Callithrix jacchus: one gene and its partner. The protein of the gene in region 2 interacts with the protein of the main gene of each other region in a pairwise test. Links are inferred from orthologs where the notes say so. Each region holds a gene or a part of one and is shown on either strand. Other genes may lie near its edges.

Evidence for each region. The genes of interacting proteins can lie anywhere in the genome.
Region 1: the proteins of SIAH1 (region 2) and KHDRBS3 interact in a two-hybrid assay, tested with the Homo sapiens proteins (3 studies listed by BioGRID and IntAct). The link is inferred for Callithrix jacchus from reciprocal best matches to the Homo sapiens genes SIAH1 and KHDRBS3.

The regions. Positions count from the first base shown.
Region 1 is NC_133517.1:61,926,214-61,930,470, forward strand, and holds the start of KHDRBS3 (KH domain-containing, RNA-binding, signal transduction-associated protein 3), read right to left. Parts: upstream 2,802-4,257; 5' UTR 2,755-2,801; coding exon of another isoform or gene 2,667-2,754; intron 1,868-2,666; exon of another isoform or gene 1,717-1,867; coding exon of another isoform or gene 1,710-1,716; exon of another isoform or gene 184-1,709; intron 1-183. UniProt on the Homo sapiens protein: RNA-binding protein that plays a role in the regulation of alternative splicing and influences mRNA splice site selection and exon inclusion. Binds preferentially to the 5'-[AU]UAAA-3' motif in vitro.
Region 2 is NC_133521.1:6,077,588-6,081,574, reverse strand, and holds the start of SIAH1 (E3 ubiquitin-protein ligase SIAH1), read left to right. Parts: upstream 1-1,181; 5' UTR 1,182-1,643; coding exon of another isoform or gene 1,644-1,734; 5' UTR 1,735-1,814; coding exon of another isoform or gene 1,815-1,845; 5' UTR 1,846-1,913; coding exon 1,914-2,094; intron 2,095-3,987. UniProt on the Homo sapiens protein: E3 ubiquitin-protein ligase that mediates ubiquitination and subsequent proteasomal degradation of target proteins.

The DNA of each region.
Region 1 (4,257 bases), on a different chromosome or scaffold from region 2:
TTTTAAGTTAGCAAATGAGAAGTATTTCGTTCCAACTTTTTGGGAAGGCAGAATAAGAAAGAGCAATGGCTTCGGAGATAGACGACCTGAGAATTCAAATTAAATCTCAGTTGTCCACAAGCTTAGATAGCTGGGATCCTCAACTCCCTCCCTGAAAAATGAAGACACGAACATCTTCCTTACCGGGATGCACGTGTGAGGATGAAACCAGCGCCTTGGAAACTTTAAAATGTTATGCAAACTTAAGGCCTTATTAGAGTTCAGAGATACCATAAAATCTATCTATCACATGGCACGCTAAGGTTTGCAGGGCTGACCCACGCTACGATTTAGTGCCGAAACAGCAACTCCAATGTGACTAACTGCTGAAAACATAGTTGCATTAGAGGCAAACACAAATATAACTCAAAAAAAAAAAAAGCTTTCATATAGCCAATGATAAGATGGTCAGATTTAAAAATCAAAGCTTCCTCACAATCACGTAATGTCAGACTCAAGACACTTGTAATCTTGGAGTTACATAACAAAGCATAATTAATATTTAAAATGATAAAGCTTTGCATTCTGAATATCAGCCTGTGATTTACGAGAAAAATGTTTCAGTCTTAAGTAATCTAAATCAACAGTAAGACAAGCATCTGAGCAGCACCTCCTCTTTCCTTCACCTCCTCTTTTCCTTCCTCACATATGAGAACTATATTCTTACAAGAATTACTTTTATGAAAAGTAAGGTTATCGAGTTTAACACCTTAAAAAAAACTAAATGGCAACATTTTCCCAATAAATATCTGTTTCAAGTAACTAGAAGCAATTAACAGTAGTAAAAACACAGAATCCAAAAAATTCTGGATGTTTTAGCAACACAATACTATGGCAACATGGCAGAGAAAATAATTCTGACTTTTAAAATAAGATAACACACTGTACTTTTAGTTTAACTGTTCCTTAATTGAGTACAACCTAACTTTGATTCAGCTTCATTTGGAAAAATGCACTTGAGTTCACACTCGAGAATATTTCCAATGCCATGCACGGATCTCATGCAACGTACAAAGAAATTTCTTTCACAGAGATGACAGCCCAGCAGGCAATAAAAGATACATGTAAATCATCAGGCACAAGGAGTACCAACTCAACTGCAGAACTGTTCAGAGGGCACACAAATCAAACTTAAATTCTCTTCCTTGATTTAGGAATGCATGCCCATTACTTTTTCACGAGTCCATTTTATTAAAGAAATAAAAATAAGCCTGCCATTAAAATAAAATGGGGGAGCTCCATAAGCCTATTTCTGTTCAACAATTCAAACATTCTTAAATTCTTGGAGACAGTAAGAGTCTCTCCACCTCCATCGGTGGACCGCGCACACACACCCTACTCTGAAGAACTGGCTGAAACAGGCAAATACTGGAGGTCACTGTTTTAAAATATAGGTTTCTATATACAAATAGAATATGTCTGCCTCATCTTTCACTTCCAACAATAAAGGAGCCACGGCGAGCATTAAGAGCAGTAGCCCTTATTCATCAAGGGAACTACAGACTTTCAGTGCCCAGTAATTCATGCAAAAGGTAACAGATCTGACCAGATTACGTTGCTGCCATTTCCCAGAGAAAAGGCAGACCAGTGGCCCCCACACCCATCTTCATCTGAAACACGTATTCCAGGAAGGGTAGAACACTGCTCCTGGGAAGGAAGGCTTAATTTACCGGGCATCCCAGCGGATGATTCAGGAAGCCACAGGAGGAGAAAGCCAGGGGAACAGGGTCCCGGGTAGGCGTGCCTCCAGAAACCCCCGTATCCCTGTCCTGCGGTACTTCCCAGGACCTTTCACACCCTGAGCTGGCTGGAGTCGAGTGAAAATGGCAAAGACTCCTTCCTCACCGCTCCGAACCTCAAGCCCGCCACCAATGAGGGTCACCCAACCCGACGCCCCCAGGAAGGGTGCTCTTTTGCCGGCCTCTTCTCCCCTCCTGACTTCTCCAAGGGCCAGCCTGCAAGGCTTGGCATGGGCTGCTCACCCCTGGGGAGGGCTGGCTGCCCCGCCAGGGCTGCTGGTGCCTGGACACAGGAGAGACAAAGGGCTGGGAGGGGGAATTGGGCTCCTCCCCGGGACCACCGAGCTCTTCTCCTCTCAGGTGCTGGGGTCTGACCCCAACCCTCTTCCAAGGTCCCCAAACTTTGCTAACAATCCAAGCACCTGTTCCCTTCGCCTCTTCTGCATTTGAGCCCCGCAAGTCCTTCCATTTTCCTCCAGCTTTTTCTCCAGTGCCTTAGACAAACCAAACACCCTACTTCCCCAAGTCCATCACGCTCCCCTTCCACGAGATAATTCAACCTTGTCCCCAACAAAGCCCCCAATGGTCACTGTCCCCCACCCAGAAGTTTCCCCTGGGTGTCCCCGAGTCTCCAAAGATTTCCTTCAAGTCTCACTCATGAACCCCAGCCTTCTCCGTCCTTTCCAAGCCCCCCAAATTCACATCTGGGTCTTGCCCCAGGTGTCCCACAGCCTCCCAGGTCCCCGCGCAAACGCCCCCGGGGGCCGCCCGGGCCTCCGTCTCCGCCTCGTCCGCTGACAGCAGCCGGCACGGCGGCGCCCCCCGGACCCCGCATTTCCACCCGGCCCCCAACCGCCGCGGGCAGGCAGTTAACGGTCGGCGCCTCACCTTGGTTCACCAGGCGCAGGGCGTGCGTAAAGGAGGGGTCCAGGGAGTCCTTCTCCGCCATCAGCTCAGGCAGGTACTTCTCCTCCATGCTCGCCGGCCGCCGGGCCCGGGACGCGGACTCCAGGCGCACGGGCGGCAGCGCCCGGCAACCCCCGACCCCGCCCGCGCCCCCTGCGGCGCGGACCCGGGGGCCAGAGGCGGCGGCGGCGGCCAAGCCGGGCGGTCGGCTGGGAGGCGGCGGCGGCGGCGGCTGCGGCCCGGGGGCGGGAACCGGCCGCTCAGCCCCTATCCCCGGTGGCCGCCGAGTGCCCAGCGCCGGCGATCCCCGCGCTCTGGTCGCGGGCGGAGGACGAGCGGGAGCGGGCGGCGCGGTTAGGAGAGCCTTCGGGCCGGGCAGGTAACGTGCTCCGCGACCCCGAGGCAGTCCACGGCGAGCCCCGCCAGCCCCGCCAGCCCCGCCAGCCCCCGCCAAAACCAAAGCCACAACCGCGACCTGCACGCCGCGCGCCGCCCAGCGCACTCTGAGCCGCGGCTCCTGGAGCCCCGCGCCTGCCGCCAGCCCCGCCCCTCCCGGCTCCGCCCCACCCCGCCCGCCCCACGCCCCACGCCCCGCCCCCGCCCCGCCGCGCCTGCGCACGGCGCCCACTCGTGAGGACGCTCCCGGCTGCGAGCCCGCCGCGACTAGCGAGGCGCTTGCGAGGAGGGGCGCGTCTAAGGGCCCCTCCCCCGCGCCCAGCGCCCACCTTTGGCCCTGAGGGTCGAGTGGGGAGCCCCACGACGCTCTTACAGCCTTCCAGAGGCACGGGCTGGGAAACTGGGGCTCAGAGAGGTCAAGTGGCTTGCCCAAGGTCACCCAGCGAGTGATCTGGGAAGAAGGTACAAGGGCCGAGCTGGGAAGGGCGCCCGAGTTCGCCCCAACCGCGCTCTGCGGAATGGTAGAGGGACCGCCCGCCCTGCTCTCTAAAGCTCCCTGGACTTCTCTAAGTTATGTCGCGTTGCTGTCCCCTCGTATTTACCAAAGAGTAAGTCAGGGGCGCCGTCCTTTCTCCGCGCCTGAGCTCAGAGCGCCAACCTCCTGAGACCCTGCAGCTCAGAGGTCGGTTACGTAAAAGCGCGTGCCCTTCTGGGCGTCTTTGTCATCCCGACTTGCTCCTTGGTTGCCATTCTCGTAGGTCATAAACCGGCTGTGCCTGGACGCAGATGAGTGAGCCGCGTCTGGGCTCATCCGCTCCCGGGGAGAGGCCCTGGGACGCCCCGCCTGCCGGTGGCAATGCCCTCTGTCCCCTTCCACCCACCCCCAACCCCCAGCAAATGCTCTCCCAGCCCATTTCAGATTTCCCGAGGCGTGTGGAATAAACGTCCCCCAGGAGGCCAAGGACTCCAGTCCTTGTCCTGCCATGTTTCCTGCCTTTTAACACCCAGCTCAAGTTCCGGCCTCAATGTCACCTTCCCTGGCAGCCTCTCAGGACCTCCCTGGCAAAGCCACTCACTTCTCGGTGTCTCCCCAGCTTGGTCAGAGGTCATTCACAAACAGCTGTAATTCTGTTTTCCGTGGGCCATGAGCGTCTCGGGGACAGAGCTTGAGCTTTGT
Region 2 (3,987 bases):
GAATCCCTGTCTTTACCAAAAATATAAAGAAAATTAGCCGAAGACGGTGGTGCCTAGTGATTGGGGAGATTCAGGTGGGAGGGGATTGCTTGAGCCCAAAAGACCGAGGCTGCAGTGAGTGGAGATTGTGCCACTGCACTCAGACCTGGGCAAGAGTGAGACCCTGTCTCAAAAACAACAACAACAAAACAAAAAACTTGTCTGTGGGGTAGACTGTATTTATTTTCAATCATATTTCTTTTCCTAATACTCTTTTGTGTAGCCTATATTGTAAAATGAGGTTGAGGTGATTGAACACACTGTTAATAGAGTGAGGAAGTGGTTAGAGTTAAAATTTCTTGCTGAAAGTGGGTAATCTGCAATTCCCTACATTGGGTTGATTCCTCTCTGCCAGCTCTTGCTGCATTTAGAGGCTGCCCTAAGCATGATGTAATGACAGGTTAAACCTCTGCACGCACTAGCTGATGCAATGCAAATCTGAGGCCCAGGACTTTATTGGGGCAAGGGTAATGCTTGTTTAAAAACAAAACAAGCTACTCTGCGTTTAATGAGGCCATTTAAGATGGCTTTCCCAGAGTGGGAAGAGAGTATACTCTCTTAGGAGGTTTAAGTAGGAGTTTAATGTGGCAGAAGTATGCTTACTACTTTTCCTGCAAAGTGTTTTCGCAGCGGGGAAGGGGAATTTAAAATACATTACCGATAGGAGAAGTGAAGTGAGCTAGAATTGAGGAAATTAGTAGTTGATGCCAGTAAATAGCTGTTGAATGAATTAGGGAGAATGTTTTCACTCCAAAATTTTAGAGTTCGGATAAACGTAGAGCGGAGCGCCAGTGTGGCCACGCATTTCAAGATACGCTGTAGCTCTTAGATTGAAACCGTAAGAAACTCCTGATATGAGACTGTTCTGACACACCGAAAACGGCATGGTTCCACCTAACTTTAAACTGGTGGAAATGCTGAGGAAGGCTCGATGTCGCTGGGGTGCGGTGGTATGCGGTCCATGGCGGGGTGGGGTCCATGGCGGGGTGGCACGGGGTCAGAGCTGCGGGGTCCCGCGGCCCCGCCCTGGGTTGTGGGGCGGGGCTTGCGGGCACGGCCCCACCTCTGCGCGAGCGAGACGGGCACCGCCCTGCACGCTGCGCGCCCTGGACTGGCCCTTGGCTCTCCTGGTTGGAGCGGGCGTTCCCGGCGCAGGCCCATCCCCAGCTGGCCGAGGCTCCAAATGGCTCTCCCGGCAGGCGGGCTCCTGCAGTAGCCCCTGAGCTGGCTCAGGGAGCGTACTTCCTTCTCAGCCAGCGGGTCACCCCTCCACCAGAGCCGAGCAGGAGCCTACCCAGTGAATCTGGAGAAGACAAACTTGGGAGACAGACGAAGGCTTAGGGCATGGTGGAGGACAGCGCAGCTGTGGCTCCCATTTTCGGAGATGCAGCCGAATTTGAGCTCACGGGGAGGTGTGGTTGCCTCCTGGGGATGGAAAGGCTTTCTTTCTCCACCTCTGTAACTGGTGCTTCTGAGAAGTGAAACGATATTTGGATCCTGACCTCAGACGCCAATTTGGGTCTTTTGTGTTTAGGAGCAGAAAGTGCCCAGGAGGGTCCTGTACCTTTACTTCTTGGAAAAGGCAGTGAGCTGCCTGAGTTCTCATGACGGGAAAGCCTATTCCACCTTCTCTTTACTCCTGGAGGGGAGTCTTGTTCACATGTTTACCGGCGACTAGGACAAGGAAGAGAAAAGGTATTGACATTAACAGGATGGGTTGCTGAGGCTGTGAAACTTGAACGCTGTTAGTCAGTGGAACCTGCCTGGCTTACGGAATGGCTGCAGCAGAATCGAGCTGTTTCCTAGGTTAGCAGTCATGTTTCATTTGGGCTGTTGTGCTTTTTTTCTGTTTAAATCAAACTTCAGGTTACGTCATGACTTCTGCAGGGCTGTCCTTGGTTCCTACTGCAGGGCGGCTGTGTGGTTGGGATTCCTTTTCTGTTTCAAGATGGAGCTGGGTAGCACCTTTGGAGCTTGGAGAGGCTTTAGCAGTTGCTGTCCTGTATACCTCCATTTACAAGAAATCCTGTTCCCATTTCGGTTTTCACACTTTGAGTAAGAGTTAAAATCTGCTTTATTACAGTGTTTGGAAAATGATAAAGATATATTGTAATGTGAGCCTGAACTGTTGATGATAAATGTATAACTACTGCTAGGTCAAGAAATTGAAAAATAATGTTTTGATTGGTCTGTAGCTGTGTTGTGTTAAATATAAACTGAGTTTACTGCCCTTGGATGTGATTCTCTGGTTTGGTTTGGTAATTTGAAAGGTATTGGTTGCCTAGACTGTTTTGTGCCCAAGGAAACACTTTCTAATTGTTATGCTGTTAATTCAGTAAGCAGCATAAACTGGACCATGCAGTAGGCATACAGCATACAGCCAGGATGTTTTGGCAATGCTGAGCCCACTGTTTTACAAGTGACATAAAATGTATGGATCATCGTATGTACAAAGAATCCACTCAGGGAAACCGGATTACAGGAGAGTTCCTTTACAGTCCTTTTGTCAGGGTACAGAACACCTGGGTTACACAGGGCTTCAGATGAGAGTTGATTCATGATCTGAGTCTATATGATGAGACACATTATGATGGAATTGTCACTTTTGTTGCCTCTTGAACTTTAAAATATATCTTTAGTGATGTGGAATTAATCTTTATTTTTCCTTCACCCTCAGCCTTCATTTAAGGTATCAGTTGGTAACCACCTGAGTAATCTAGAACCCAAGTTGCATTTACTTGGTCATATTGGTAACTAACATTGTTTCTCAAAAGTTTCTTGCAACAGAATAATGACTATAATTGAGATAAAACATTAACTTTAAGGCTTTAACTTTGTAAGAATATGGCTTAGTATAGTTACTAGGAGTGTATTCTTAGGACATCGACCGATCTATTTTTTCACCCCCAAGACAAATAGTGGCCTCCTATATCCCAGCCCAGGGAGCTCTTTGGGATGAGTTACTTGTTTTATCTTTGACTCAGCCTGACTAGTTACATTGTCGATCATTTCTTCCAGATGACATTTATCTGTCAAATAATGTTGATTAGTCTGCTGATGAATGTTTAAACAACGCTGGAGAACCCTAGGCTAAGGGGTTCTACACCTGTTGACTCCATCCCCCACTCCCAGTGTGGTGTGTCTCTGCCGTGCTATCTGTATTCTTCCCCTGTTCAGTTTCTCCCTGACTCTCCTTCTTTGTTCATTATGTCTGATTTATATTGTGGATTGCAAATAGAGAAAGATATGCTTTCTCTACGACACCAAAAAGTTTTATTTGAGATGGCTCTCCATTTCTCCCACGTCTCCCTTCACTTTTGCTGTGTTTTTATTTATTTTTATATTTTTGCTACCTTCACTAGAGAGTACATCCCCTCACTCTTGAGGTGGGCACTGATCAGTAGGAAAGAAGATCAATACCTGGCTGATGATAATTTGGGGGGCAGATTGATAGATAAAGGGGATGGCAGCAGATCTTTCCCCTTGTGATCCCTCCCCTCATTCCTAAATTACACCTCTAGAGTAGGTAACTGCTCACCATTAAGAAGAGTTAATGGAAGGCATTTGAACTACACTCATCCCGTGGTATCCTCGGAAGATTAGTTCCAGGATCCCCTTCCCCATACCAAAACCTGAGGATGTTCAAGTCTCTGATAGAACATGTTATCATATTTGTATATAACCTGTGCATATTCTCCTGTATAATTTATCTCTGGATTACTTACACTTAATACAATGTAAATAATAGGTAAATAGTTGTTATATATGTTTTATTTTAAAAATTTTGTATTATTTTAAAATTTTTCTGAATATTTTCAATCCATGGCTGGTAAATAGTTATATATGTTTTATTTTAAAAATTTTGTATTATTTTAAAATTTTTCTGAATGTTTTCAATCCATGGCTGGTGAAGTCCTCAGATGCAGATTCTGTGGTTACAGAGTGCCG